3 linked regions of the Alligator mississippiensis genome follow. The protein of the gene in region 1 purifies or fractionates together with the protein of each later gene. This does not show direct contact. Links are inferred from orthologs where the notes say so. Each region holds a gene or a part of one and is shown on either strand. Other genes may lie near its edges.

Region 1 (9,683 bases):
ACCATGGGGCACCCCAGCCCCTTGGGGCAGCTCTGATTGACGCCTGCGCCCTCTCTCCCCCTGCCCGCAGTCCTCAAGGCAAAGCCTTCCGCTCCAAGGTGGAGCTCATCGCCTACTTCGAAAAGGTAGGAGACACCTCTCTGGACCCTAACGACTTTGACTTCACGGTGACAGGCCGCGGCAGCCCCTCACGCCGGGAGCACAAGCCCCCCAAGAAGCCCAAAGCCCCCAAGGGCCCTGGCACAGGGCGGGGCCGTGGGCGCCCTAAGGGCAGCGGAGCAGCTGCCAAGGCCAGGGCGGGCCCAGTTGAGGGTGTCCAGGTGAAACGTGTGGTGGAGAAGAGCCCGGGAAAGCTTCTGGTCAAGATGCCCTTCCAGCCAGGTCCAGCAGGTGCCAAAGAAGGTGGGGGTGTGGCCACTGCCTCGGCCCCTGTGCTGGCCCTCCGACGGCCTGGGCGCAAACGCAAGGCAGAGCCAGACCTCCAAGCCACCCCCAAGAAGCGGGGCCGCAAGCCAGGTGGCGGGGCGGGTGTGGGCACCCCAGTGGCAGCTGCTGAAGTCCGCAAGAAGGCAGCCAAGGAGGCAGTGGTGTCAGCAACTGCACCAGCTGCAGCCCACGAGACCCTGCTGCCCATCAAGAAGCGCAAGACCCGGGAGGCTGTGGCCCTAGAGCCAAGACCTCTGCCGCCTGCCCCTGAGCGTGGTGGCCCCAAGGGACCCAAGGCCGGGCGCCGCAGCAAGGAGGGCAGCCCCAAGGGGCGGGGGGGAGCCGGGGGCAGTTTACCTGCCAAGAAGGAGCCGCCCCTGCCACCGCTGCTGCAGCCGCCACACCCGGAGCCCCCTGCCAGCCCCCCGGACAGCGTGTGCCCAGCACCTGCGGCCACGCCCGCACCCACACCCACGCCCCAGGACCTGAGCAACCAGGGCTGCGCTGAGGAGGCGGCTGGGGCCCGGGCCTGCCCTGCTGACCCCCCCAAGACTCAGCCGCCTGCCCTAGCCGTCAAGCACCGGGCAGAGGGTGAACGCAAAGACACTGTGTCCTCTTCTTCTTCTTCGTCCTCCTCTTCCTCTTCCACCTCCACGTCGTTGGCCCCCCCGCCCCCCGCTGGCCCTCGGCCCGGTGCCAGGGACGACGCCGTGGACACCAGGACGCCTGTCTCCGAGCGGGTCAGCTGACTCTGAGTGCCAGAGTGTGACGGGGGTGTAACGGGAGGGGGGGTGCAGCAGCACGGACGGACGGACAGATGGATGGCACCCCCTGCCCCTCCCCCCACACCCTCCTCGGGACTCGAGGCAGCTCCGCAGGGCTGGGCCAGGCTGAGCACCCCCCCTCGCCAGCCCATGTGCTCTCCCCCAGCCTACCCTGCCCCCCTCCCCCCACCCTGGTATTTCCTAGCGAAAAGCACAGCGCCCATGGGGGCCGGGAGCCACTTTGCACTTTCCTCCAACTACTGCCCCTCTCCCCACAACGACTGGTGGGCCAGGGGGAGGGGAACGTGTGTACGCTGCACGCCTCTCCGCCCCCAGCAGGCTCCCAGCAGGTAGGAACCGGGGAACCTCCCCTCCAAACTTCGTCCTTGCTGCGGCCCCAGTGCATTGTGGGGAGGGGGGGCACTTCTTCCAGTTCTCGGCAGGCATGGAGTGGGGGGGATTATTTGCACTAACTAGCCAGGTGTGGGGAGGGGCAGGACTTCCTGTCAGGGGTTGTGGGACTGCACCTGCCTAGTGGTCAAGGGTTCAGGGTTTTTGGGGGCCCCCCATGGTTAGGGGGAGTGGTGTGTGGGGGTCATGATTCTTTTAACCCTGAATCCCTTCCCCCTCCGTGGGAGCTGCAGAAGGGGGTGCTGTCCCCATCCCTCTGCCTTTTGTTGGAGGGCTTCCTGGGAGTAACCAGGGATTCCTGGGCTAGGCACAGGGTGAGAGCGGTTGCCAAGGCTGAGGGTCATAGGTAGATCACAGCCTGGGGTTCCCCAGAGGTCAGGATGTGGTTGAAACTGGGCTCGGGGTCAGGTTATAGACAAGCTCTGTCATGGAGTTCACTGGACATAGGCGTGTACGTGGGGTCAGATCACAGACTGCCATGCGGTTCCCTGGATATTGGGGTGCACATAGGGTCACACACAGGCAGATGGGGCCGTGGGGTTCCCTGAGTATCTGGATGCAGGTGGGAGTCACAAGGGGTCAGATCATGGACAGGCTGTGATGTGGGGTTTCTTGGATATTGAGGGTCACATGGGGTCAGATCACAGACAGGTGCAGCTGTGGGGTTTTCTGAATACCAGGGTGCAGGTGAGGTCACACGGGGTCAGGGCATGGACAAGCCATGATGTGGGGTTCTCTGGATGTCAGGGCACACATGGGGTCACATAGAGTTAGATTATGGGCAGGCCTCTCTTTGTTAGGGTGCAGGTGGTCACAATGGGTCAGATCATAGGCTGTAATGTGGGGCTCCCTGGATATTGGGGTGCAGGTGGGGTTGTGGGGTCAGATCATGGCCAAGCTGTTCCAGGGGAGGATATTGGAATGCAGGTGGGGTCACATGGGATCAGATCATGGATAGGCTGCAATCTAGAGTTCCCTGCATGTTAGGGATCATACAGTCAGATCCCAGGCCTCACTGTGGAGTCCTCTGGCTATTGGGGGCCATCATGGCAGGGCTATGAGGGTAACTCCATTTCCAGCTACCCCATCATGGAGCTGTGGCTGGGCACAGGGGGCTACTGTCTTACACTGTGTACTGGGAGACTGACAGCCCAGGGAAGGGAGGAGATAGTCCATCTCTAGGGCGGCCACACCCCAACTGCTCCATCCTGTGAGGCAAAGCTTTGCACTTTAGGGGGCATCTATCAAAGGGGACATGTCCCCCCCCACTCCTCTCAGGGCAGAGCTAGTTAGAAAACTAAGGAATGCTGAGGACTTAACTCCTTCCTGCCTAGCACCTTTCCCACCCAGGGTGATGGAGTGGAGACACTTGGCACCCATTACCTTCATGGTGGGGTGGAGGGGAGTTACCTGACATCCATTACCTTCATGACAGGGGGGATTACTTAGCAGCCATTACCTTTGTGGTGGGGCAGAGGAGAATTGCCCAGCACCCCTTACCTTCATGGCAGATTGGGGAGGGGGAGTTACCTGGCACCCATTACCTTCATGGCAGGGCAGAGGGGAGTTATCCGGCATCTGTTACCTTCATGACTAGGGGGTTACTTGGCACCTGTTACCTTCATAGCAGGGTGGAGGGGAGTTACTCAGCACCCATTACCTTCATGCCGGGTGTGGGGACGGGGCATTATTTGGCATCTGTTACCTACATGGCAGGGCAGCCCTGCCTACCGCTCCATCGCAGTCAACAATAGCAGCCTGGGGGAAGGGGGGGGAGTACCATTCTTCCACACACTGGCCCCAGGTGGCCACTTCTGGGGGGTACTGGGTGGGGGGAATGGGGAAGGCCCCCAGTCCCACTGATGCAATCAAACCCCTCCCCACAACCACCACATTCCCAGCTTCCAAGCCTCGGTATTCATTGTTCGACCAAATATCACCAGGACTGTTATCATCATGCACACAGAGCTCCCTCCCTCCATCGCAACCACGTGCTCCTGTGGGCTCCTCCCCACATTTCGGAGCTGGCCCCTGTGATGGGAGCTGTATACAGCAGGCTTAGCTCCCTCTCTTCTGGTCTACAAGCTCCCTCTCCTCTGGTCTACATATATATTCTGCACTGGTCCCATGTGCAGCTGTCCGGCCCCTCCCACTGCCACGCACACATAGAGGGGGACTCCTAGGCCATGGCTGGGGAGCCATGGCTGTCATCATGGAGAGCTGGGCTTTTGGGGGGCCTGGATGGGGTGGAACCATGCCTGGGTGTAGAGGAGGGGCATCTGCCCTGCTGTGACCCCTAGGGACTGAATTCCAACTTGGGAAGAGACCCCCCACTCTCAGCTAAGGCCTCAGGGGATCCGGATTCCACCCCCCAGGGGGAATGGGGAGATTGCAAGCAGCTGGGGATCCCCCATCCATGCTCATCCACTCCAGTCCCATGTTGGAGTCTGTTGCTGGAAGGGGTCATTCCCTGGGAGGTTGAAGCAGTTTATTAAAGGATGGAATTTGTATCATTTCAGTAAAAAAAAAAGCGACAAAACCCCCCCAAAAAAGATACCAGCGGGGGGGGGGGGGGGAGCAAGGCCTGAGACACCCCCCTTCCCCCGAATGTACCTGTCTGTGTCTGCTCCCCCCCACCCCACCTATTTATTCTGGGAGAGACAGAGAGACACTGGAGACATTTGCCTTAGCCATGTGTGACTGGAAACAGACCCCCTCCCAGCTCAGCACATGCGTGTACATGGCTGTGCATCCCCCTCCAACAAGTGGGGGGGAACGTGTCACCCACATTTCCCCTTATCTTGGGGCCTAGGCGTCACCTTTTTCTTTCTTCCCTCCCCATTTTGGTTCCTTGCCACCTTGAGTTTCTATCCCTCCCCTACCCACCAGAAATTTTGGACCCTGCCCAATTTTTGGACCTCCTTCATTTCTGACCCCCCCCCCCCCATGTAAAATTCGGTCCAGACTCCAAGCGCAAGTAACTCTCTGCATAGGTTATTTCAGTGCTATAATTGCATCTCTTGTTGGTAAGTACTGTATTCTGTGCTAGACTCGAGCTATAAATCTATGTACAATTAACCCACGGATGACTTCCTTGCCTTCATTGCAAAAGACCCCGCCCCCCCATGGGGCTGAGGGGCATCCACTCCCTTCACCATGCTGGAGAAGCTACAGCTAGGGTGGATTTGCTCTCAGCTCACTCTCTGGTGGGATCAAGCCATGGTCCTTGGGCCCCCAGGAGTGGGAATATGTCTAAGCTACTGGGATGCAAGGGAGACTGCAGTTTGCCTCTCCTGCCACACCCTGGATCTCCCCCCTCTGTGGGACACAGAGAGAAGCCAGGGGGCAGCCACGGGCACCCAGCAGTGAGGTCCTGATTGTGAATCCCTTCCCTACTCTATCAGGCCACACTGCTTCGCCAGGGTAGGATAGAACCCAGGTATCCAGGTCCCCCGCCCCTCCCCACTGTAACCCGCAGACCCCCACTTCTCTCTAGAGGTGAAATAGAGCCCAGGTGTCCTGGCTCCCAGATCCCCAGACCCTGCTTCTCTTCAGGGCTAGGATAGAACCCTGATGTCCAGGTTCACAGTTCCTAACCTGCAAGACCCTGCTCCTGTCCTAGATCTTCCATAGAAGCCAGGCCTGAGCTCCTGAGCTCCCAGCTCCCCATTCTAGCCCACCAGGCCCCGCTTCCCCCCAGAACTGTGATAGAACTGGGGTGTCTGGGTACTAACCCTAAGCAGGAAACCACAGCCCGAAGAAGTGGAGAATGGGATCCAGGGGCCACCATGGGGTCGTGTCTGTATTGATGACATAATGCTGCACGTGGGAATGATGTTAGTGCATGAGATCACCTGGGGAGCTGGACTGGGGGCATCCCTCATGATGCCATCATCCTGATGACATCACAGACCCTCACCCATCTATAACCCAAGCTCTACTTAGACTACCCCAGCTGCTGCCCTAGTCATAGCTCCGTCTACAAGCCCCTCCCACCCCAAGCCACGCCCACGCCTACAGGCGACTCCCTTTGCTTTTTGTCGACTGCTCCCTCCCACTCCCAGAGTGCTTTGCGGGAGGAAGACTCTCGCTCATCTCCTTAGAGCAGCCAATGAGGTCCTTTTATGTAATAACGCCCCGCCCCTCAAGCTGCCACTTTGCATATGGCTCTCGGCAGAGGTTTCCTTTCCGCCACACTCAAGATGGCGACGGGGGGGGTCCCTAGGCCAATGCGCTTATAATAGAGGCGGAACTTCCGCCCTTCCTAAACTGGCGTCGCGCCCGGGTTTCTCTCGTTCCGCCACGCCCCGAATGGCACTGCCTTTGCCCTCCACGCTATGTGGGGGCGTGGTGGGACTTAAGATTCACCACACTCAAGATGGCGTCACGAAGCGGGGGTGGGGGGGGGGCCTCTGGAGGCTAGAGCGCATGCACCTGCTGGGCCGTTATGGTCACTCTTAAAGGGGAAGTGATTGGTTTTCTGGGGCGGACCGGGCTGGATCGGGTGGCATGGCCGGATCCGGGCCTGGCACCGGACGGTTCTTGCATGAGCTCCCGGCCTGGCTCATGTGTAGCTTCTGTCGCCTGATGGACGCATTGGGTCGTGCGGACTGGGAACGTTTCGGTAACTGTTGCAAAGTAGGAGGAACTGAGGCATACTGGGAGAGACTGATGGGGACTGGAGTATCCTGGGAGGGACCTGGGAACGACTGGTGAAAACTGGGAGTGACTTGGAGGACTGGGAGTGACTGTAGGAGACTGGTGCATACTGGGAGAGAGACTGACAGTGCCTGTTGGTGGGCTCTGGGACATCCTGGGAGGGGGGCTGGAAGTGGCAGGGGGGGAATGGGGTATACTGAGAAGAGGACTGGGAGCAAGTGGTGAGAACTGGGACTGGAACACACTGGGAAGGCAGTTGGGAGTACCTGCTGGGGACTGGGGCAAACTGGGAGCAGCTGGTGGGGACCAGGAAGGACTGGGATGTACTTGGGAGGAGACTGGGAGTGACTGGTGGCACTGGGGCAAACTAGGAAGGGGAGTAGGTGAGGTGGGGGCATCCTGGGAGGTTACTAGTAGCAACTGTTGGAAACAGAGGACTGCAAAATATTGGGAAGGCAACTGGGAGCAACTGGTGGGGACTGGGGCATACTGGAGGAGAGACTGGGAGTGACTAGCGGGGACTAGGGCACCCTGGATAGGGAATAGGAGTAACTGACGGGGACTGGAACAAACTGGGAGAGAGTTGGAAACTGGGATAGGGGCATGGAACACTGGGGAAACTGGGCCAGTCAGGGATGTCCAGGGAGTTCAGTCACTGGAGCATACTGATATGTACCGGGGAGTCACCATGACATACTAGAGCCTGCTGGGAGGCCTTGTGGTCTCCTGATGCATGCTGGGAGCTAGCTGAGGTCCACTGGGATGGAAGGAGCCTGGAGGGCAGCATTCACTGGCCACTACTGGGACATGCTGGTTTATACTGGGTGGGATATAGGGGAGTCAGTGGCTATACTGGTTTATACTGAGAATGGACTGGTGGGTGGGGGCACTGCTGGGGGAGGCTTGTAGCAGGGGTGGAACCTGAAGCCCCGCACCCTGCCCTGCCCCCAGCTTCCAGAGTGGTGCGGGACCAAGTGGAGCTTCGGCTGGCGGGCACCAGCGAGGGCCGGACACAGCGGGTGCTCTGGAGCTGGGGCCACCGCAATGCCCGTGTGGGCGACCTGCTTGCCTTGCTGGGAGAGCTGGAGTTGGACTGGGCCCATGACCTCATCGCCAGCTGTGAGAGCCCCACTCCACCCAGCCCACTGTGCCCCTCATTACTGACCTTTATCTCCATCCTTATACCCCAGAGGGACCCTTGCTCAGCCTGCAGCTCCCCTGCATGTTGGTGGCCCTCAATCCCAATCCACAGCCTCACTTATGCTCTACAGTGCCGCTCACTTCTGACTTGCAGCCCCCGCCTATATCCCCCAGGGTCCCTGGTGGGCAGAACCCTGGTTGTGGGGGGGGGAGGGGGGGGAAGGAAGAGCTGTGGGGGGTCTCTGGGGGAGAGGGGGGAATTTGGGGGAGTATTAGAGGGTGGGGAGCTGTGGGGGGCTCTGGATTGACAGGAGGAATTGTGGGTAGAGCAAGGGAGTCTCTGTGGGGGCTATGGGAACCTCATCTCTGGTCCATTATTTCTTCCCAGGGCAGCCCCCTCCCGAGCCATGGACACGCCTGCCCCACAGCACCTCCCTGGCCCCTCCCCTGCCATCTGTGCCTCTGCCATCCGTGCCCCCTGCCCCCTGCAGTACTGCTCGGACCCTTCCCTGGGACCCGCCAAAGGCTCTGCCCGTGCCAGTCCCACCCCTTCCAGGTAACTGCCTCTCAGAGTTTGGGGGAGGGTGGGGGTCACCCCCTGCCCCCTCAGTGACTTCCTGCCCTGCCCCCCAGAGCCATCCTGCCTCTCGTTGCCCCTCCCTGGCCCCCCACCCCGCAGCCTCCTCAGCACCAGCAGCCATGACACCGTGACCTCTCCTGACCCTGTGACTCTTCTCAGCCAGGTAAGGGGGAGGGGCTAACTAGGGGTGTGGGGGGATGGCCCTTGGGTTCTTCAGGAAAGGTGGGGATGAGGGTGCTGTACCCAGAATGCCTTGCTCTCTGGCTCAGGAGGGCTGTTCCCGAATCCTTTGTGCTCTCAGACCCTGGGTTCCTGACCCAGAATTCTGGGGAGGGGGTGGGGGTGGGGCATAGCAGTTATAACCATAATCCTTTGCTGTCCTGCTCTGGGTCTATTACCCAGAGTCCTTTGGGGTGGGTCCTACCCATAATCCTTTGGGTAAATGGAGTCTGGGACAGGGGAGAAAGTTCTTTGCTGCCCTATTCCCCAGAATGCTGTGCTGCAGTGAAGGGAGTGGGCTATGTGTTTGTGCCGCCAGGTCCTGCCACCCCCAGGGTTCCCACGTCTCCTGGCATGGCCCCTGGCAGAGTTGGTGGAGGCCACGGGCGGTTTCTCAGAGCAGCACAAGGTGGGCGAAGGTGGCTTTGGTTGTGTCTACCGTGCCCGGCTGCGGCACACGGATTGTGCTGTCAAGCGCCTCAAGGAGGTGAGGGGGGGCTTCCCGGTATGCTTTGCGCTGTCCCATCTTCTACCTTCTCCCCAATCCATAGGCCCCTTCCAGGCATCCTTTGCGTTGCCTGCTTCTCTCTCTTGTGTCCTCTCCCCAGCATCCTTTGCACTCTCTAGTCCTTGACCTTCCTCTCTGCCCACTATAGGCCCTTTTTTCAGCATCCTTTGCACCAGCCATTATCTTTCCCTGAATCCTTTGCATCTTCTGCTCTTCCTCCTCCTCCCCCCCCCCCCAGCCCTTTGTAGTGCCAAGTCAGGGTGACCCCTGTTCTCTCACTAACTTCCCCCCTGCCCTCCAGGATGCAGAGCTGAACTGGAACCTTGTCCATAACAGTTTCATCACAGAGCTGGAGAAGCTCTCGCGGTGAGGGGGGCTGTAGGTTGGGAGTAAGGGGCACTGCAGAGCTATGATAGGGGTAGGGGGGACTGGGAGTTGGGGGTGAGGGGCACCGTGGGGCTATGTTTGGGGGGGGGAAGGGGGTCAGGAATAAGACGCACCACTGGGCTAATGCCAGGGCCCCTCCCAGGTACCGGCACCCGAATATTGTGGAACTGGCTGGGTTCTGTGCTGAGAAGGGCCACTTCTGCCTTGTCTACGTCTTCATGCCCAACGGGTCCTTGGATGACCGGCTACGCCCACAGGTAGCCCCCACTGTGGGGGTTAGGAGTGAGAAGCCCCTTGGGGCTGTTGGCGGGGGGAGAGCTTCAGGTTGGGAGTGAGGGGCACTGGGGAGGTATGTGGGACTGAGTCCTGGCTGGAGTGGGTGTGGAAGGGGCAGCTGCTGGTGCCACCCCCACCCAAATCCTCCCCTCTTCTGTGCCCCCCTGCCCAGGATGGGCGTCCTCCACTGACGTGGCCTCAGCGCCTGTCAGTACTGGTGGGGGCTGCCCGGGCCATCCAGTTCCTCCATCAGGACGTGCCCAGTCTCATCCATGGGGATGTCAAGAGGTGAGTGCTGCAGGTCAGGAGTGAG
Region 2 (9,953 bases), on another chromosome or scaffold:
AATGAATACGTTTTCACTAACCACTAAATTGTACAGATTTGTTTCCAGTTGTCATATAATACACAGGCCCTGGCTACAGGTCAGAGTCTTTGAGCCAGTAATTTATAGGACTTAACTGGCCTACAAGGGGTCTAATCCAAAATCCTTTGATTTCAACAGGTCTTACAGCAGGCCCCAAAAAAGAAAGTTATTATACGGCACAGAGCCACTGGCTAAAAAGTCAAGCTTCTCAGCCATTCTCCCTCCTAAATTTACGATACTTTAATTGGCAGTAAATTATTTGAGAAACTCAAAACTGGTCAGCAGCATCATATTCAGCACCGGGAAGGAATATTTATGTTGAAGAAGCCCCCACAGAGGGAAGATGATTTAAGAATACTGGCAGCAGCCTGGTTCCCTCAAGTCAAGGGTTCCCAAACTGTGGTATGCAAGCCATCTCTGCAGGGTACGTGGGAGAAATAGTGTAATGGTGGATTTAATTTTCATTATAATAATAATGGGCATTTAAGGAGTTAAAATACAAGACATAGGCTGGGAGGGGTACTCAGGCAGCTGGTAAATCTGGAAGGGGGTACGCAGTAGGAAAAAGCGTGGGAACCTCTACCTTAAGTAAAAAAAAATGCCTAGAAAATAGCAAAGGTTGAGTACGAATACACAAAGGACAATAAAGAGCATACTGGGCAGCACTTACACTGGGTTTGGTTTATACTAGTGATTTTCAACCTTTATTTTCATTTGTGGACCCCTACAACATTTTGAATGGAGGTAGGTTCCTTTGAATTGTAAGCACGGGTATTCACATACTTTTGATTGATGATAGTCATCTTTCATGGACCCCTTAGACATAGTCTGCTGTCCCCCTGGGATCCGCAGACCACAGGTTGAAAACCACTGGTCTATGCAATGCAATTCAAAACTAAGCAGTACATAGCACAATGCTCTTGGGGACTCTGTTTTGCTTCCCCCCCAACATATTTATTTACAATTATCACCATTTGTTTTGGCATGCAAGGCAAATAATACCCAAAATATCAAACAGAGAAATATATTATTTACCCAATTAAGTTACAATTACAGTTAAATTGGCCTCATTTTCTATTCACCTATCATTCCTCTTTGCATTTAGTCCTTCGCAGCAACTATTTTTCCAACAATGGTCTATTAATTGGGAGAGACAGCAGCTTACTTCAAATGAACTCCAAGAGAAAGGTATAATGTGTTTCCTGCACTGGAAAGGAAGCCCGAAACTCTGGGGACCAGACAACGCTACAGGAGGCCATTCACAATCAAGCAGATTATCTCTTTTCTTTGCTAGCTATTATGACCTGTCTGGTCTAGTTTGCATAAATGTGTTTTTATTCACTGCAATATTGGTCTTGTAAGACTAGGGAAAAAAATCTTGACCAAATGCGAACTGTCACATCACTTACACACACGTACACCCAGAATACATGATGGACTACTGGGAAAAGGACATTAAAAATGTATTTGCAGTGGTGACTGACTCGCAATGCTTTAGGCTTTCCCCTGCTATCGCATTAACATGCAGACGAGCAATCACAACTATTGCTAGACAGTCTCTTAGATGAACATATTCATCTTCTGGCAATAAGCATAGTTTTCCCATTAGAAGGGTTTTCTTCTATTGTTAAGTTTTAACTCTGGTATGGCACACACCCAACTACTAAAGAAAAAAGAGAAGAGTGGTAAAGGGGAAAATGCTTTACTTAAGAAACTGGTTTACAAAATAAGCTGGTTTCAATGCACAAAATCAGCTTATAATCATCTAAATTAAACTAGTCTTACAGACCTCAAGATTGAGGAAAGTTAATTGGCCAACGCACATCACCATTTAAACTAGGCAGGCAATCCTCTAACCAAAAGAATTAAATCCTCTCTCTAATTTGAGCTGTCAGGTCATTTTTATCGCTTGTCATAACCGTCATAAGAGACATTATGAGACTTTTTCAGTTTGAAGCTTCATTTTGGAGAAGCAGGTCCCCCCCTTCTTTGCTTTCGTGCAAAGGTAACAAGAAGATGCCAAGCCGACTCTGGATTACATTTTTAGAACTCCGAGCAGATGCTCAAGCTGTTCTGAGAGTTTCTAGCAGTGATTCAATGCTGCTTTGTGCTATTTATGGCACTAGATGCAGCGACTGAGCATTCGCAGTTTGGGCAGGAAATTAAGATTTTGTTTTGTTTTTTAAAAGGAGGGTGGGAAAGCAGAGCTGCACCTATGACCATAAGATCAGGTTTGGCCCGAATGGAAATGTAAACACCAGAGCATTTTTTCTGGTATTGTCCTACCCTTGCACTCCCAGCTGCCCAAGTGCAGTTTAGTTTACCGAGCCTGCTGCAATCACACAAAGAGGAAACTAAATATGCCGAACGAGACGGAGCTGAGGCTCTGATAAGTTAAGAAGTTTTCTTCCACGTCTTGTTACATCATCAGGCCTCTGATAACTTTAAGTGTTGTCCTTTATGCACTACCCCGCATCTCAGGAAAAAAAATGACTGTAAAAAGTCTGATAAATCATCAGTTGTTTGCGACGCCACAGTCGATTTGGCAAGCTGAGAAAAGTGCATGACAACCTATTCAAACAAAACAAAACAAAACAAGTCTCCAAGTGGATTGAAATTCATTTCTACAGTTTCCAGTTACCGCACAGACCTGCGCTCCGGGGAAGAGCGAGGTCCTCGGCCCGGAGGAATCAAGAAAAGTCACCGCGTTTGGGCCCCGGGGAGGGAGGGTGTGGGGGGGGGGAGGGAAATCGGGCACAACCTCCGCGGTCACGACCCGAGCCAGAGCTGTTTGCCAGTCACGTCCTTTCAAAATCCAGCTAAAATTGAAGAAGCGACTGAAAAGCGACGGCACTTCCAGCTGCGCGCAGAACAACAACAACGCCACGCGCATCCGCAACACAACACGGATTTATGCAACCTAATTCAAGCCCAGCCGGAGCGGGGAGCGACCTGCTCCGCAGCCCCCCTTCCCTTCCCTTCCCTTCCCTTCCCTTCCCTTCCCCTCGCCCTGCAAAGCGCAGCGCAACGCACCCCGGCCTCCCCGGCCCCGCCGCACAGCACCCACCGCCAAGTTATTTTTGTTGAAACAAAAGGTTTGGGGGGTGGGGGGGGGGTGTCACGGCCACCGAACCTGCACATCAGCCGGAGCCGCATTCCCCGCCGGGGGCTGCAGCGACGCTCCTGCGCCCCGGCTCCCCGGCCCAGCCGGACCCAGCCCCCGTACGCCCAGACCCCTGCAGCCTCTGCACACCCCCATACACCTAGACCTCTATAGACCCCTATAGACCCAGACCTCTGCGGTGCGGTCCCTGCAGACCCAGACCCTTACAGACCTGTAAAGAGCCAGCGCCTGAAAGGTCCAGGTCCCTACAGTCCCCTGACAGACCCAGACCCTACAGTCTCGTAGACCGCTGCGGTCCCCTCGAGACCCAGCCAGTCTCGGGCGGGCGGGCGGGCTCACCCGAGCACGACGAGCTCGCCGTACTTGACAGGCTCCTTGTTGGGCGCGCAGTGCTCCTCCTGGCTCGGCGAAAACATGGGGCCGCGCTGGGCCGGGACTGGGACCCGGACCCGGACCCGGGACCGACCGGGGCCGCCGCCGCCGCGCTCCGCGCTGCCCGCGCCGCCGCCGCCGCCACTGCCGCCGAGCGGGGGGGGGGGGCCGGGGGGCGGGGACGTACCACCTCGCCCCGGGGGGGAGGTGCCGAGGGCGGGGGCGGGACCCAGGCGCGCCCCGCCTCCGCGAACCGCTCGAAGCCGCCTCCTGGCTGCACCGCCTCACGTTTCCCCCCCCCCCCCCGCTGGGCCGGCTGTGGTGCGGCCCGCTCTGTTATGTAAACATAGAGTACGGCGCCCGGCGGGTCTTAAAGGGGCCGCTCAGCTGAGAGCAGCGCCCCCCCTCGGGGAGGACCGTACCACTGCGGGTCACCCCCGCTCTCCCCCCTACCCCCACCCCAGCGGCCTGGGATAGGACGGCGGCGGTTCTAGCTCGCCAGCCCGCGTTCTAGGGCCGCAGTGACGTCACGGGGCTGCTCTCACCCCCTCCTCCCAAATCTGTGCCCTGGGGTTCTAGATCCACCGCACGGCTTGAGCTCTAGGGGCCTGCTCTGGACCCTGGCCCAGGGGCAAGGGGTTCTAGAGCATGGGTGCAGGGTTCTAGAGCATGGGTGCAGGGTTCTGCCGCAGGGGCTTCTCCATCCTTTCTTGGCATGATGTTCTGGATCCACCCTGCTTTTTTCGTGAACCAGAGATGGAGCCTCAGTGACCAGCCCCTCCCCCTGTTCTAGATCGGCATCTTCCGCTTGGCTCCAGAACGCTGCTCCAGATGCGTGTCCCTCTGCCCTGTGTCAGAGCAGGTAGCACCCACACTCCCCCCCCCCCCCCATGTTTCAGGGCAGCGTCTTCACACTTGGCTGGACCCCAGTTCTAGATCAGCCGCTTCAACTGGCACGGGAGACCGTTGTGCTTTCTGCCCCATCCTCAAGCCAGAGCTCCAGATCCGTCCTGAGCCCCGCCAGGAAAGGGTGTTCAGGGCGGCGTGTCCGTACCCCAGGTTGCAGCGAGGCTCCTAGCTCTCCGGTAATCGTGTCTGGTGCCAGGTTTAGGTTTAAGCTACTTAAACTACCAGTTTAGAGCCTCACCATATGAGGGGCCTCTAAATAAGAACAAAAAACCTGGGCATTTTCATTCTAATATGACAAAAAATATACATACATATGGCTCCACAGTTATTCATATTGAGTTCATAAATTTGTGCAGAAATAATAATTCACCTTAAAATTTCAGGAAAATCCATTTTTGTAGATTTTATGGATTATTTTTATTGTACAGGGCCTCTTAAAGTGGATGTAGTTTAGGGGTTCAGTATGTCGTACTCCAGCAACGACCACATCAGTGTTGGAAACGGGCTGCAGACCGCTGCTCCCTGTCCTCGGAGTGGATGTGTTCTAGATTTCCCCCCAGGAGCCCTCTGCCTTCTACAGCAGCCACAGCGTTGCTCCAGCAGCCAGCGCGGGGGTCCATACGAGCAACAACCTCTCCAGGTTAGGAGTGCGAGACGACGGCTGCAGCCACCCAAAGCAGTGGATTTGGGTGCAAGTCCAAGCGCCCAGATTAGGGAATTCTGTTTCAGGCACAAAACAATCCACAGCCAAAATTCAACCCTGCTGGCACTGGCGACTTGAGCAAGAGGTTTTAGATTGCCAGCCTGCTCTGGGGCCCGGGTGGCCACCCTGTGCCATGAGCAGCCTGGGCAGCCTCTCTGCGCGGCACTCCACGGATCAGGGAGGGGACAGATTGGGGAGTAGCAGTTAGGGCAGGAAGCAGAAAGTTGAGCAGGAAATAAAGTAGGGGGCACAAGACAGGAAACAAAAAGCAGAGCAGATCAGGCAAAGTGGCTCTTGGGAAAGGTGTAAGACTCACTGCCAGGAAGGGCTGCCACCCCCACTCCCATGTCCCCACTCTGGAAATACCAATTTTCTACCATCTCAGTGCACAGTAGAAAATATCAACCGATGAGACCTGATCCTGCGGGGTCTGAAGGCACTTTGTGCATGCCCCGAGCTTCTGAAATCTCAAGCACCATGGCAGGCTGGAGATTTGGGAAATTTTGCACACATTGAATCGAGATCAGAAATCATTGCTCACAACAGCTCTCAGCAATTTAGCTGACAGGTAGTAAAGGGACCTGGGACGAGCCAAGTATTTAAGATAAGGTGTGGGAAGGCAGGTCGGGCACAAGGGAGAGGGCACCAGATTGCTGCTCTTTGAGCTCCCCTGACCCCAGTCGTGACTGCAAGCTATTGGTGCAATTCACAATGGTTCAATAATCGTCCGTGGTGATGCTGAGAGTCATAGTGGTAATGCCCTGCGCTGTATCCCAATTGTAGCAGGAGCGGCAGCACAGTGAGCGGCAAAAATGAACAAGAAAATGATGCAGAATGAGGCTCTGCTGAAAGCTCCAAGTTAGCAAAGATACGCACATCTGTACGAGACTGTTGGGAGGACCGAAGAATGTTTTCACTGGGAATTAGGCAGCCGGACAGCATTAGCACCAAAGTTTGATTTATTCGTGGTTTTGATAGATCAGTCTAAACCACAACATTCAGATCAGGCCCTTCCCCACCCCCCTCTCCACCCCAAGCACAATCAGGATGGGTTTAATGTGGGGGAATTAGCATAGACATGTCTAATGTATTTTTTCTAGATGTATCAAGTTCTTTGCTAGCTAGTGAGGCTGATTGTAAGCAAAGGTAGAAGAGGGAAAATTTACTTGTAAAACAAGCCACCTTTAATCCAAGTCATATTTAGGAGGAGCCAAAAAAGAGACATGCAGAGAAACCTCCGAATGTGAGTGGTGCCGGCAGCACTCATGATTAACATTAAAATACACCTGCTCCATCCATCACCCCTCCCCTTCGTAAGGACAAACCTATTATATTATGGGGACAGCCAGGACCACAGACATCGTCGACACTGTCATCATGTTTGATGGGCAAAGAAAACTTTCTTTTAAAACTGCCTCTTTACCAACCTGCCCCACTCCCCTCATATGTATGCAAATGGATGGCAATAATGATATTATGTCAGGGAGGCAGTCAAGCTAATATCCAGCATACTCAGGCACTGCCAGTACAATGCTGAATAATGCACAACAGTCTGGGCACTTACTGAATGCTCAATTAATGACTAGACCCATGGGTGTTGCCCTTGGAGGGTTTCTAAATTCTAGCTTGGCTGCCTGTGAGATTTTGCCCCTGAGCAGTCAACTGGCTTCAATATCACAGCTGATAGGAAGTAAATACTATTTTATTTTTCAGCAATTTAGAAAGAAATGGGAATGTCCACCTTGCCAGCCGCTCGCGCTTTGTTTCATCTTCCAAGGCTTAACATTACCCTGTGCTTTTGTTCTTCAGGCAGTTCTTGTCTTAGGCTATTAAAAAAAATTATGAGAAATTTAAAGAACGCTGTTTAAAAGTCCATGTTTCCACTCTGCAGACATTTATGCTCTGTTTTATCTTTCCAAGCTTTACAACTACACTGAGCTTCTGAGGTCTCTCTCTTCTGGGAGCTGGACTTTTGCAGCCTTTCAAAAACTTTAAAAAGAAAGTCCTGCATTAAAGCCGTTGATCAGATTATTAATGAGCTGCCAAACAGAATGAGAGTGCTGTCCCTTTCCTTTCAGATACAGAGGCGGGAGCTTTGTGAATGCAATGTAGTTTGTGCGTGTTATTTCCAAAACACGGCGTGTAATCCTGGGTAGAAGACTTCAAGAGGGATGGTTGGAAATACTGAAAACCAGGGTGAAGGAGTCGGGCAATCCTAGCATAGTAGGTTATTAGAAAGTATGAATGAAATGTACAGTGCCAGATCATGGGTCCTTTTGCATTACTGTGGGGCATACAGAGGTGCCTCGGCATGTGTCAAGATGCCCATTGTGCTGGGAGCCTGTTGGATATGTGGTCAAGAGGGGAGAGGGCATGGCTGAGCACTGGCATGTGGCAGCAAACCTCAGTTGCTGTCCTGGCTCCATTGGAGCAGTCATCAGCCAGTGGACGTCCAGCAACGCTGAATCTGCACTGGCTAGTATCAAGGGCCCAGCCAGATCCAAAAACAGGAAAGCCTAGAAGCAGAAAACCACCTTTGTCTTCCTGCACCATACAAGCACCGTGCCCACAGACTTGGATTTTCAGCCAGTCCCACTCAGCAAACACAGCTGCCTATTGCACAGCTTATTATCACACTGATCACTATTGTCCCCGCGCTCCCTTGCACTCTCCCTTCTCTATGTATCCACATGCTGGCTCCTGTTTTTTCCCTTTTCTTTGAAGCCAGAACTGTGTTATTCATTCTCTGCTTGCACCACTCCTAACACAATGGGTCCCAGTCTATGACCAAGGTTCCCAGGTGCAATGGTAATACAAATAAATATTGAGTAATAACAGTGGCATGTCCCCACCAACGTCGGGGTGTGTGGCCAGTTATCTAGTGTGCAAGCATCCACGCAGTGTGTAGCTGCATAACAGATTCACAGGGACCTTTCCAGGAAAGTAGCTGTGAAACACCAAAACAGAAACAGGTGTGGGGGGAAAAACCCAGCCGCTACATTTCACAACTCCAGAACCTGAATCTCTTACAGTACCGAATTCACCTGGCAGATTTCTCTAGATTTCAGCCCTTTTTTTTCTCCTTTTCTTTTTGCTTGATGCTTACCAACAGCTCAAAATCAGCCCAGGTGAGCTAGAAATTAGTGAGACTCCATTGGAAAGTTTCATTTACTCAATATTGAGACTTCCATGCCACAGCGAACGTACAAAAGTCACTATATATTGCATCTGCGCATTCTGCGGTTCTGGCCTTGATTCAGCAGTGAGGTTGGCAGGTGCCGGCCCCTCCAAGTGCTCCTTCCAGGATTAAGACCTTAGAATACATTGAACTCTAATGCATTCATTGTTAATTGTGTCCTGGTTCTCTTACTGGAACATTTTATTTTCCTTCAGTGCAATTATATTTAGCCATTAATTTCCCTGGCAATTACTTTTTTTTCTGCCATGTCTGGTGATAAGGAGAAATGGAAAATCCAACCAATCTTGAAATGCTGCAGAACTGGGATTTTCCTAAAGGCTCTGAGGAAATGACAAGATTTTATTAAAGACATGGAGCTGAATTATTGCAGATTTATCTTCTTTATTGCCCTGACACAACAGAAAAGAAAGCTGTGCAGTGAGTCACTGCCAGAGGAAACAAATACATTTTAAAAACCAATGTGAAAAATCAAATGCATTAGCGGCTGCTGCTTCTTCAAGCTTCCCTCAAATGTGAACAAGAATTTGTATGAACTGCTCTTTCATGTAACCTCATCCAAATTAAATTTACTTCCAAGAAATGCCCCAAATAATTCAGCCCAGTCCTACTTGCATTCAAGTCACTAGGAAAATGTCCCTCCAGTTCTTTGGGAGTGGGAGCTAGTCCCTTTAGAACGAACAGATCTTTTGACATCTCAAAATGAATGGGAACATCTTTTAACGCTTTCCTTGCTGCAAATTTTGGGAAAGATGGCACCATATATGGCACCCCCAGCTTACAGATGAGTGGGTAGAAAACCAAGGAGATACGCACTTCCTATACAGGATGTCTAATAAGGGTGTCACCAGTAGCTCTTTGGTGGATTATCTAGAGTAGTGTTCCTCAACCTTCTTAGACTCAAGGCCCCCCTCAGAAAATACCAGCTCTTAGTTTTCGCTTGTTTTTTTGACAACAGAAAAAATACTGGAAATTCTTCGGTTGCAGACAGCTCAGAAAGATCACAACAGAGCAGAATACTTTGGGCACAATGAATTCCCATTTGAAATCTCCAGGGTTAACCTATGACTCATATTTGCACACCTAACGTTGTGTGGTATATTGTGTGGCACCCCTTACCACCCTTGGAAGGACCTCAAGGCACTCCATGGTACTCTAGATCAGGTTAAAACAGCTTCTCAGTGCTCTGATCAACCCGGGCATGGCTGATCTAAGAACCTCACGTGGCACCCCTCAAAAGAAGTTCAAGGCACTCTGGTTGGGAATCACTAGTCCAAAGAACTGGTTAATGGAAAGGTGAATCCTTGTTCCTCAAGCTTGTGTCTGCTGGAGTTAAATAAAGGGGACAATGGGTGTAACTGCTGGAAGTGGAGTGGAAGGAAGAGCCCAGCAAAACTCTACCCCTCTGTGGCCATCTCATGCCAGAGTTTAGGAAGGAACTGTATCTGTGTCAGATTCAAGAAAATGACTTATTTCAGCGGCATGTCACTGAGCTTCAGGGGGCCGAAACACAGCCAAAATCCCAAGAAGAGATCCTGGCTGGCCAATCTAGGATGTCCTGGAAGCCACCAGGCAGCACAGGCGGATGGGCCTGCGGCACCTACCCCGAAAGGCAATGCAATGTATTC
Region 3 (9,879 bases), on another chromosome or scaffold:
GGGGGTTTTGTAAACAATAAGCACCAACACTCCTCCAGAAATAACTCATGCAGAGCAATCATGTCACATCTAAACAGCAGTCCAAAAGATGCAACCACTTGAGCGCACACATTCAAGAGAGCTTTAAACTAGATAATCCGATGTATCAACAGCATTATAGCAGGCAGTAGTTTGGGGTTCAATCATCATGGGTTAAACCTACCCACCCATCCACCTATATTCAGACAGCTGGCCCAAACAGAGTCTGATGCTACTGCTAGTTACCTTGTTATCAATCTAAATCAAGTGGCTTAAAGTTTGCTCCTGTATCCCATAATGAACTGCAAATCCATCATTGGGCTGTAGTGTGGACAGACCTACATGTTTTCTACAGAGCTAAGAGAAGGGCAAACTTAAACCATTCCCTTCCCAAACTCCCAAAACAAGGAGAAATAGCATTTTGCCAATCTTGACTCTGAAGTGTTGATGTCTGATGCAAAAAATGGCAACATGAAAGACTCAGCAGAAATAAAAGCTGTAGAAACGCCTTCAGTATATTTTATTGAAGAGGGATTATAGCTTGAAAACATTTTGCCCAACCTTTTTCTCCTTTTACTGACTAACTGAGCTGAATTTCTCAATAGCTAAATCAGAGATCAACTAGATTGTCAAGGCTTTTTGTCTACAGATAAGAAAAATAAGCTTATCTTGATATCACCACTCTTGCTATTTACAAAAAGAAATCTGTTCTTCACCATTTAATTCATTAATCCGTTCACCATCAAAACCAGATTATTTTGTTTTTGGAAAAACAAAAACAAACCCACCCACCTGCACCTTTGTAATTAAGAAGCATAACAACTGGTTAAAGTCAGAATTAGAGTCTCTTCAGATATGATGTAGGAAAGAACCATAGTTAGTGGTTCATGCTCGAGACATCAGAATGCTTACGTTCCACTTTGATTTAGAAATATTAACCATCTAACACTCCACAAGATAAAGATTTTCTCTATTTTATGGAGGATGAAAGTGATGAGGTACATGAGCTGTCCATCATACAGTATATATGAATCCCTCAGACGGAAGGTCCAGTATATGAACTGTTATACATATTACACAGGCATTCGGCATCCCCTTGATAGATCCGTAAGTAGAAACAGAATCAAGGGGGAGAGGGGAACCACACATACACCATGCTACCTTTTGAACATGCTCTCTCCAATGCTTCCAAACCAGAGCATCCTATTTAGTAGCCATGCAGTCTGAATGAGTGGTTCTCGACCTTTTTGGAGTCATGTCACCCCTTCACCACTTTTCTGAAAATGGCAGAGGGGGCTAGACTGTATCACAACACACCTAATGGGGTCTCCCAGCACCCTGATTGAGAACCATGTCTAAATAATTAACATTTCAAGTTAGAGACAGAAAAGATGACACAGTTACCCCACTTAAAAGCTGGCATGGAAGTGGATAGGAGGGTTGAAGAGAGGACTGATACCAGATTGAGCAGCATCACAATAGTTTCATCTGTTCCCTCCTAACCCCTAAATTGAGGCAGAGCAAGTTTGCCTTGTTTGAAGCAGTGGTTACTTACTGCAATTCCTTTCACTAGCTCTGGGTTAGCAGAAATGTAACAGTCTTATCTTATGAAACGTTATTAGGCACTAGGTAAAAGTGTCAAAAGTGAGTTCGTGTTCACTCTAGAACAGAAAACAAATAAAACTGTTTTTAATGCCAAATAAGTAATACATAAATAGCAGTTTTACAACATATGTTTTTTACTTGGAAAAATTAAGATTAGTAAAATAAATTGTGTGAAAAAGGATCAGTGCATCTTTAGTGACAGATGTGTGTCAGAACTGGCCTAGAGACCTAGTATCCCATCATCAAGGTATGGTGTTAGTATAAACAAAATTGATTGCTTTGCCTTCCATATTCAAGAAAGATAAATTCAAAAAGAAGCAGGTACAGAGAAGGGCTACTTGGCTCTCCTTTTTCTCCCAATATCTTATCTTTGGAAGGGAGACTAAAAAAGGTTGGTTATTTAGCCTAGCAAGATGAAAATGTATCAGGATGGACACCAGAGGGATGTGAAAAGATCAGTCAGGCTAAATGACAATATTGACACAAGTACAAACAGGTTTAAAGTTTAGTCAGAAACCAATTTCTGTCTTACCAGGAGAGCAAGGTTCCAAGGTTCTTTATCAGTTTGTATCACAGTTACCAACAATAACAGAGACTAGTCTCTCTGTGCCTATATACATGCAGGGAGGCTGCTCGGACATGCTCTAATTACAGTGTGTCGGAGCAGACTCAATTAATTGAGTCTGCTAGAACATGGCAATTACCGCTCTCCAGCAGAAATGAGCATCATGTGGATCAACGTCCTTGTGCTGAAAAATGGCAACAGGGGCACTTTAACTACAGCCCCCATCACCCCTCAACTCCCAGAGCACCCTGTGGTCCCTTCCAGTCCTGAATGCAGAGAGAACCAAACTAAGGAATCAAACTGCGTATTTTAATCTCATAAGTTTAGAAACAGAAATTTCCCCCATTCCCCCCCCCCAGTAACACTAGTCATTTTTTTTTTTTATAAAAGTACCAGATATTGCAAATTACATAATGAAATACAGCAGCCATTATATATTCTGCCATACATACATTCTTTATATTTCACCTGAACATTTATCAGAAGAGGGCAGAAGGAATTTCACTTTTAATACATCTGAAAAAATAAGCTGCAATTAGGAATGTTTGCCATGTACATATAAATGAGAACTACAGATCAGAAAGTGTAGGCATAAAAATAAGTCTGGTGGCATTCTGTCATGTACTCCCAGACACCCACGTCCAAGACAACCTTGGAAAGCTTCCAGTTTGAGCAAGCTAGAAGGATAAAGAGGTAACACTCTCTGCAGCATTAGAGCATTAGACAGGACCTTGTATTTAGCCTGTTAGCCCCCTTTAGTGTCTACTTACTGACATTACAGTTTTGGAAGATGCTGTTTGCCCTCCATGTCACAAGGAAGGAATATAGAAACTGCATTAGTTTTTCTGTGGAAAGACTATCAGGAAAGGGGATATACATAGTCTTGAAAGGCTGCTCTTCTCCAGTAGAAAGGAAACCGTTTTATATATGCGGTCACGGATTTGAAGCAAGAGCCCTTTTGGGGTTAGTGGAGAGGAAAGTCCAGAAGCGAAAGGTTGCAGGCAGGCGCCCAGCCAAAGAAAATGACAAAAGGCCTCCCTCCATATAAAGGCTTTAGGGCCTAGCAACGAAAGTTAACAAAATCCATTTGTAAAGAGAAACATATTCTTAAAGAGCTAACACAAAGGGGAAACCGCAGGAAACGAGATCACTAACACACTTCCATCATCATCAGATAAGGCCAGTGTAACAAACAACCTAGTCTTCTTGCCTCTCAGCATCACTACATAAGTCCGCTAGTTTGCTCAGCCTAGCCATTTTGTTCCCTATAAATACCTGAAGACCAGGGTTCAATTGTAAATAGACGTACTAACACAAAATTCAGACTGCCCCCAGACGCAGGCAAGGACGAGAGAACTGGAACAGAAGAGTAAAGCAGGGTTTCATCACACGTCTGTGTCTGTGGTAACACTGGAATGATGCTGTCGCAATGTCCAAGAAACTGGATTTTGGGGGCAGGGTGTCTCTGGGCAGATCAAATGAATGACTGGTGAGACCGGAAGAAGTGCTCTTGCGCTTGAACACTTGGTGTCTCAATGCAGCCCCACTCGATCCATGGTAGAATCAGAAGCCCAGGGCTGCAAGGGACCTCAGGAGGCCCACTCCAACCCCCTGCCCAAAGCAGGATCACACTCCAATGGTGCCACCCGCCCCCTGTCACATCTCGAACAACGTCACCTAGCAGAGGGTGGTCCTAGCAGCCAGGGCCGAGTGGGACACCCCTGTGTGCCGCCAGCACAGGCTCCTGGGAGGGTAAGTCGTCCTCGATCCCGGTGGTTCTCAGCCTTTTTTGTACCAGGACCCGTTTACAAACATCGACGGCCAGTCCCGACCCAGAGTCCCCCTCCCCCAGCACGTGGGGCAAGGGAGGCCCCAAAAAGGGGGGGGAGGGGAAACCACGCATGCGCACACACAGCGGGAAATCCTCAGGGCCTCCCCCCCCCGCGGGGCCGAGACTGGGGGGGCCCAGTTGCCCGCTGCCGGCCGACACTCACCGGGCCCCGCTGGGTGCTGACAGTGGTCGCCATAGCGCCTCACTCGGACCAGGAACCTCCGCCTTCCGCCCGGCCAGGCCGCCGCTACCGTTAACAGCCTCCGAACGCCGAGCTCCGGAGTCAGCTGACGCGCCCCGCCCCACCCCGCCCCGTTATTCGCCGCTGCGCATGCGTGATGCAACGGGTGGTTAGCTTGTGAGTTGACTTCTCCTCCTGCCCCGTCTGACGCCCTCGCAGTGGCGGCGTGGCCTCCGCGCATGCGCTGGAGGGGACGGGCGGGGCGCCCGTGGTGAGAACGTGGCGCATGCGCGCTACGACACTCGTGCTCTCTTACTGCCCCCCCACCTCGGAAGCTGTGAGTTAGTCTCGCTGATGGGAATTGGCGCCTGCGCAAGAGGCTGTTATGGGACAGCGCTCTCCTGAGAAATCGGTCTCAAGAAGCTGTGTTGCGCATGCGCGAAGAGGCAGCACGCATGTGCAATACTGGTACTGGAGACCTTTCTCACTCTGCCCTTGGTGTGGATGGATCACTACCAAAGGGTGGGGTTCAGGGTGCCTGGGAGTGCTGCAGTGCCTCACCTCTGCCCCACAACACAAGGCTTTCCCTCAAAACAGCTGTCCCCATGCCTGGGACTTTGACCCCTACACATATGGTAGCGCCTGCCACCAAAATGGCCCCTATACTAATACAGTCACTACCCACACACTCAGATGCATCACACTGAGGCACGTTCCAGGCTGCAGCACCACGGCCATGGCCGCCTTCATGCAGGCTGCGCCATCCGTACCAAAATGGCCACTGGCCCCAGCCCTAGAGGCAATTGCCGAGGTACCATCGCACAGAAACTCCAGAGAAAGGCCTGCCATGTGACATGGTTGCCCTAGTATATCCCAGGGTGAGCTGTCACTGTACCACACCAAAAGGACCATATCCAAGGTGCCCTGGCGCTGGTGGGAGACAATCTTACCCTGCACAAGAGATCACTGTAGGGTCTGAAGACACTCCCCATAACTAGATAGCCACCAAGATAATACTGTACACCGCTCTCTTGTGCTGTGAAGCCTCTGTCCCAAAATGAGAGCTGATCTGCCTCACGCCAGAATAGTCACTGTGCCAAATGAGGGATTTTCCTGCCAAATGACAAGACTCTAGTGCCCAGTCCTGAAATGCTTCTGCACCCTAGTTAGTCAGACACCACTGTCCTATTCCAAGATGCCCGTTGAGGTACTTCCACCCTGCTCCAAAAAAGCCCTACACAGAAGACCCACATGGATGGACACCAGTAGACCACAGTAAACCTGCTGCACTGAGTTGGACTGCCCATTACTGAGTTATCACTGTCCAGACCCAAGGCAGCATTAGAGCCAAACTGCTCCTGTGATACAGTAGTAAAGCAGGGTGCTGTAACCCACTAGGATGTGACATGGCAATATGGGGTAAAACATTACTGTTGTCACCTTGCACAGAAATATCACTGTGAGAAAGTGATGACATAGCACCAAAACATCATCTCTATCATCTTTGCTGTGCCCAAAACATAATAATTTGACAATGTAGGATCATCCTCATGTTTCATGAAAATGTCACTATGAAGTTAGTATGTCAGTGTGGCAGATACATTCCTTTGCCTTGTACTAAAATGTAACTGTGCTGCAGTGGATCATTGTTTCCATGCACCAGCACCATGGTGTTGCACAGGAAAATTGTACGTGTGGGGCTGAAATATCATGTAGCAGGGTGCCAGTGGTGGAAGATACCTCACTATTACCACTTCCTCATGCCCAGAACTTACTGGCCGCGTCTACATGAGATGCTACTGCACAGTCGTTACTGCACATTTATTTAGTACTTGTATAAATATAAACTCGTATAAACAAGTATTAAATAAATGCATAGTAACCTGAGTTACTACGCAGTAGCACCGGCAAATGCCTTTTTGGTGACACTATTGCACAGTAGCCTAATACTACTGCACAGTAGTGTCGCATCACATTTTTTGCCACGCAATGCTACTGCGCAGTAGTTATCAGGCTGAGGCTACTGCGCAGTCAGCATCTCACATAGATGCATCCACTGTGATGCAGTGTTACAAGATGGAAGTGGAACAAAGTAAATATTGCCATCAGAATACAGCATTATACAGTATGCTGAAGGAGATGGAAGGGGAACCACAATTGTTTAGTGAAATATCTGAGAAGTTGCACTGAAATGACATCATAAGGTGGCACAGTGATGGGATAATCATTCTTGCATTGTACTGAAATATCAGTACGCTGTGATTCCACAACAGCAGTGAAACAGCACCACACAGTTGCAGTGAAATGCCAATGTTATATAGCATGACAACATGAAGTTTAGCCATATCACTTTCATGTTGAACTTAAACCTTGCTTTGCTTGTTTTGCCCACACAAAATCATTATTGTTCCTGAGCAGACTTTCTTCCTAACAAAAATGAATCCTTCTAGGGGTGGAAGTAGGGTAGTAGCAAATGGTGCAGTCCGTGTCATCATGGCAGAAGAATAATGAAGAGAAGAAGATTGAGGCACCAGTCTGAGGCAGCAACCCTGGGTGGGTAGCACAAAAAGAGCAGCATCTGTGCTGTTGGCACTGCCACTGGCATGCTGTCAGCAGCACAACCACTGACACTGCCCCATGCACAGCTGCTGCCAAGAGCACTTAAGCACCCAGTTACTTCATCATAGCCTAATTGGATCTGTCCGGACAGAAGAATGAGTAAAAGCAACAGGAGACCAAGTGGAAGAATAAGACTGCTACACAGACTTCTACAGCAAGTCCCCTAAAATCCATTTAGATCTCAGAGGACCCACAGGTTCCAGCATTCAAATTTCCTGCCCATTCAGCAGATTCTCACCCACCCAATGACAGAAACATCAGTGAGGAAAAAAGGCACAGAGTTCCCCTTGCTTTGGTTTTCTAGATGACCTTAGAGGTCTCTTCCAGCTCCATGATTCTATGATTCTGCAGGCGTGTGTGATTTGGCCCTTGATGAGGAAACCACCTGTGCCCTCATGCCAGGAGTCATATCTCCTCCAGCTTGTTGTGCAATTCCAGTCTTTTCAGAAGAACAAAAGCAGCTCTAATATTCATCTGAGTGCTGTTCTGGGAGATAAAATCTGAGAATTTCAAAACCTATTTAAATAGCATAACTGTTTCCTGTTCGGATTTGCTGCATAAATTTAGTCATTAATTAAAATTCTAGTGCAGATTCCAACAGCTGGAAATAGAACAGTACAATTAAGAGCATTCCAAATATATAACAGATCTTTTTCATGCTACCATAACATATGTATGGAGAAGGAAAAAGCATCTTTTGCTTTTGTCTTGCTAGCTCTAAAAATGGACATTATTTGATATAATTGATAGGGAGGCCTTGATCAGATAATACAGTTGATACCAGATGCAAGCTGAACAGCTAGCTGAGGATAGAGGCTGTTATGTTCCCTGGTATATTTATAAATTGCTCTTCTGATGGAACTAGAATTCATTTCAAACTATAGGACTATAAATGAAGCAAAACAGACCTTTCCTTTTGCCTGTTCAGGAACCTTAAAGCATTTATCATCAACAAACAGCACTGAACATTATCATGGAACAAAAGTAAAAGGCTTAGCTATCTGCTTGCCACTGGCAAAGAAAGCAAGCCAGAAAATACATCAATTAAATTTAACAAAAAAGACCAAATTCACCCCTGACACAATTCACTCAGCTTACATCAACGGTGCTCAATCTCTGGTCTGTGGGCCAGATCCACCTTGTGAGGCCATGTCATCTGGCCCACGAGTATCCCCCCAAGTCCAGAAATTGGGGGCGGGGGGATTACAGCATTAATTATCCCTCCCATGCTGCCCAATTTCTGAACACATGGCAAGCCCCATGGGGCAGATGACATGGCCTTATCTACTAGATCATGCTGGCATGTGTCAGACCTGCTGGCATGGGGGTGTCACTCAGCAGCTGGATCCAGCTCATGATATTGGGCTGTGTTCAGGGTTGGGCCAGCTCACTGGATTGTACCCACAGACTGTGTTGACCCCACACTGGATACACCATAAACCAATCCCATGTGAGGGATCCAGCTTCACACCACTCATTTGGCCCACAGAGCTGGAAGGTTCAGCCCCACTGACTTACCTCAAAGGTGTATTTGGCCCAAGGATGCTGTCCAGTAAATGGACTGGTAGAACACCAGTGGGGTCTGTACCAAGAAAGTTTTGCAATCCCTTGTGATCTTGTGATCAATATACACTCAATCAGTACATTACGCCAGCTAGGCTGTATGTGGAGTTGGGGATCATCATAGTATTACTACATATAGGCAGCACCCCCTTTCCTCTGGCTACATGCCATGTATATAGGATTTTCTATAGAGCCCCACACAAGTGATATCTTCTAGTAGCCATTTAAACAAGGCTTCTGACTGATTTGCACCGGCCGAACAACATTAAATAGTGCGGCTGACCCAGCACAGACTCCCTAGCAAGCTTCCTTGATCGTTAATTTCTGGTAACAGCTCCCTCAAATTTAGTCTCTGAGACCCCTACTGACTGATGATTCTATGTAATTGTGGCCATTGAGTTTATGTTTGTCTCTGTGGCTGGTAGCTTCATTGTGGATTTCACGCAGAGAGAACCTGCTTCAGGTGATATCTACTTACTGATGCTTCCCTGGGTGACTGGCAAGACCACTGATCTCATTCCTAGGAAGCTAATTCCTGTATGTAGTTTTTATGTAGGAAGAGATGTGGGCCCACCACTGGGAAGGACTGTTTTCCATAATCATTAAGTTACTATTCCTTAGACACAGACTGCTGAGAAAAATGTATCAGTGTAGATAAGGAGTGACCTTGGTGGGAGAGTTTCTCAACGTCAGCAGATGAGGAAGTAATTTTGGGCTGGGTAAGAGTAAATCCCTATGTTTTTATTTTCAGTGTTATCTCTCTCAGTCTTTGTACAATGTGACAATGAGCAAACTCAGAGTTCAAGGGCTCAGATTTTGATTTCATGTATGCTACTGTAAATCAATCTAATCAATTATGTGACTTGCAAGTTAACTGAAATCACTGCCCCACTGGTGTGATATGTTTGCTGGAATTCAGAACACACAGTCCTTTGCTCCTTTTTGGCCACTTCATGTGTGCACTTCACATGCTGTGAATAGCTTGAGAAATAACTAACAAAGTGTGCATTTGTGCACACTTGCATGTGAATTTACCATGCCTTTGAGAAAGCAAAATTAGTATGAAAAAGAAAACTTCATATATTACTTAAATAGGAGTTAATTTTTAAATGTATTTACTTTCTAGAGTTAATTGATGTCCTAATATAGTTTAGTGTCATTTCTAACAGTACTGATCTAGGTTATTCATATATTCACTACTCTTTTGTGGTCAAGGAGGTAAAGGAAAAGATTAAATATTTGTGTGCTTAATAGCTCATTTAATACTTTTCAACCAAATAATGCAAAAAATCAGCTCATTAAAATAGTAACAGTGATAAAGATAGGAATTTCACATACCAGGGGATGTGAGCCCATTTGAATAAGTGAGCTGTAAAGTCTCACATTGCAAGAAAACCCCATTATAATCACATCCTACTGGAGAGGATTGCTAGAGAGAGCAGCAGTTATTTTAAATTTTATAGTCAGTGATTTTTTTTGTCTGTAATCATGAGAGAT

Evidence for each region.
Region 2: the proteins of IRAK1 (region 1) and PELI2 purify together in Homo sapiens (affinity purification with western blotting; 7 studies listed by BioGRID and IntAct, with this or other methods). This does not show direct contact. The link is inferred for Alligator mississippiensis from reciprocal best matches to the Homo sapiens genes IRAK1 and PELI2.
Region 3: the proteins of IRAK1 (region 1) and TOLLIP purify together in Homo sapiens (affinity purification with western blotting; 11 studies listed by BioGRID and IntAct, with this or other methods). This does not show direct contact. The link is inferred for Alligator mississippiensis from reciprocal best matches to the Homo sapiens genes IRAK1 and TOLLIP.

Annotation. Positions count from the first base shown.
Region 1 is NC_081831.1:28,782,278-28,791,960, forward strand, and holds the start of IRAK1 (interleukin-1 receptor-associated kinase 1), read left to right. Parts: upstream 1-6,019; 5' UTR 6,020-6,110; coding exon 6,111-6,225; intron 6,226-7,211; coding exon 7,212-7,379; intron 7,380-7,788; coding exon 7,789-7,956; intron 7,957-8,033; coding exon 8,034-8,143; intron 8,144-8,518; coding exon 8,519-8,686; intron 8,687-9,008; coding exon 9,009-9,073; intron 9,074-9,236; coding exon 9,237-9,351; intron 9,352-9,542; coding exon 9,543-9,658; intron 9,659-9,683. Other genes in the region: MECP2 (methyl-CpG-binding protein 2), read left to right, coding at 71-1,175.
Region 2 is NC_081825.1:293,732,225-293,742,177, reverse strand, and holds the start of PELI2 (E3 ubiquitin-protein ligase pellino homolog 2), read right to left. Parts: upstream 3,648-9,953; 5' UTR 3,562-3,647; coding exon 3,485-3,561; intron 1-3,484. UniProt on the Homo sapiens protein: E3 ubiquitin ligase catalyzing the covalent attachment of ubiquitin moieties onto substrate proteins. Involved in the TLR and IL-1 signaling pathways via interaction with the complex containing IRAK kinases and TRAF6.
Region 3 is NC_081825.1:186,446,524-186,456,402, forward strand, and holds the start of TOLLIP (toll-interacting protein), read right to left. Parts: upstream 4,324-9,879; 5' UTR 4,216-4,323; coding exon 4,183-4,215; intron 1-4,182. UniProt on the Homo sapiens protein: Component of the signaling pathway of IL-1 and Toll-like receptors. Inhibits cell activation by microbial products. Recruits IRAK1 to the IL-1 receptor complex. Inhibits IRAK1 phosphorylation and kinase activity.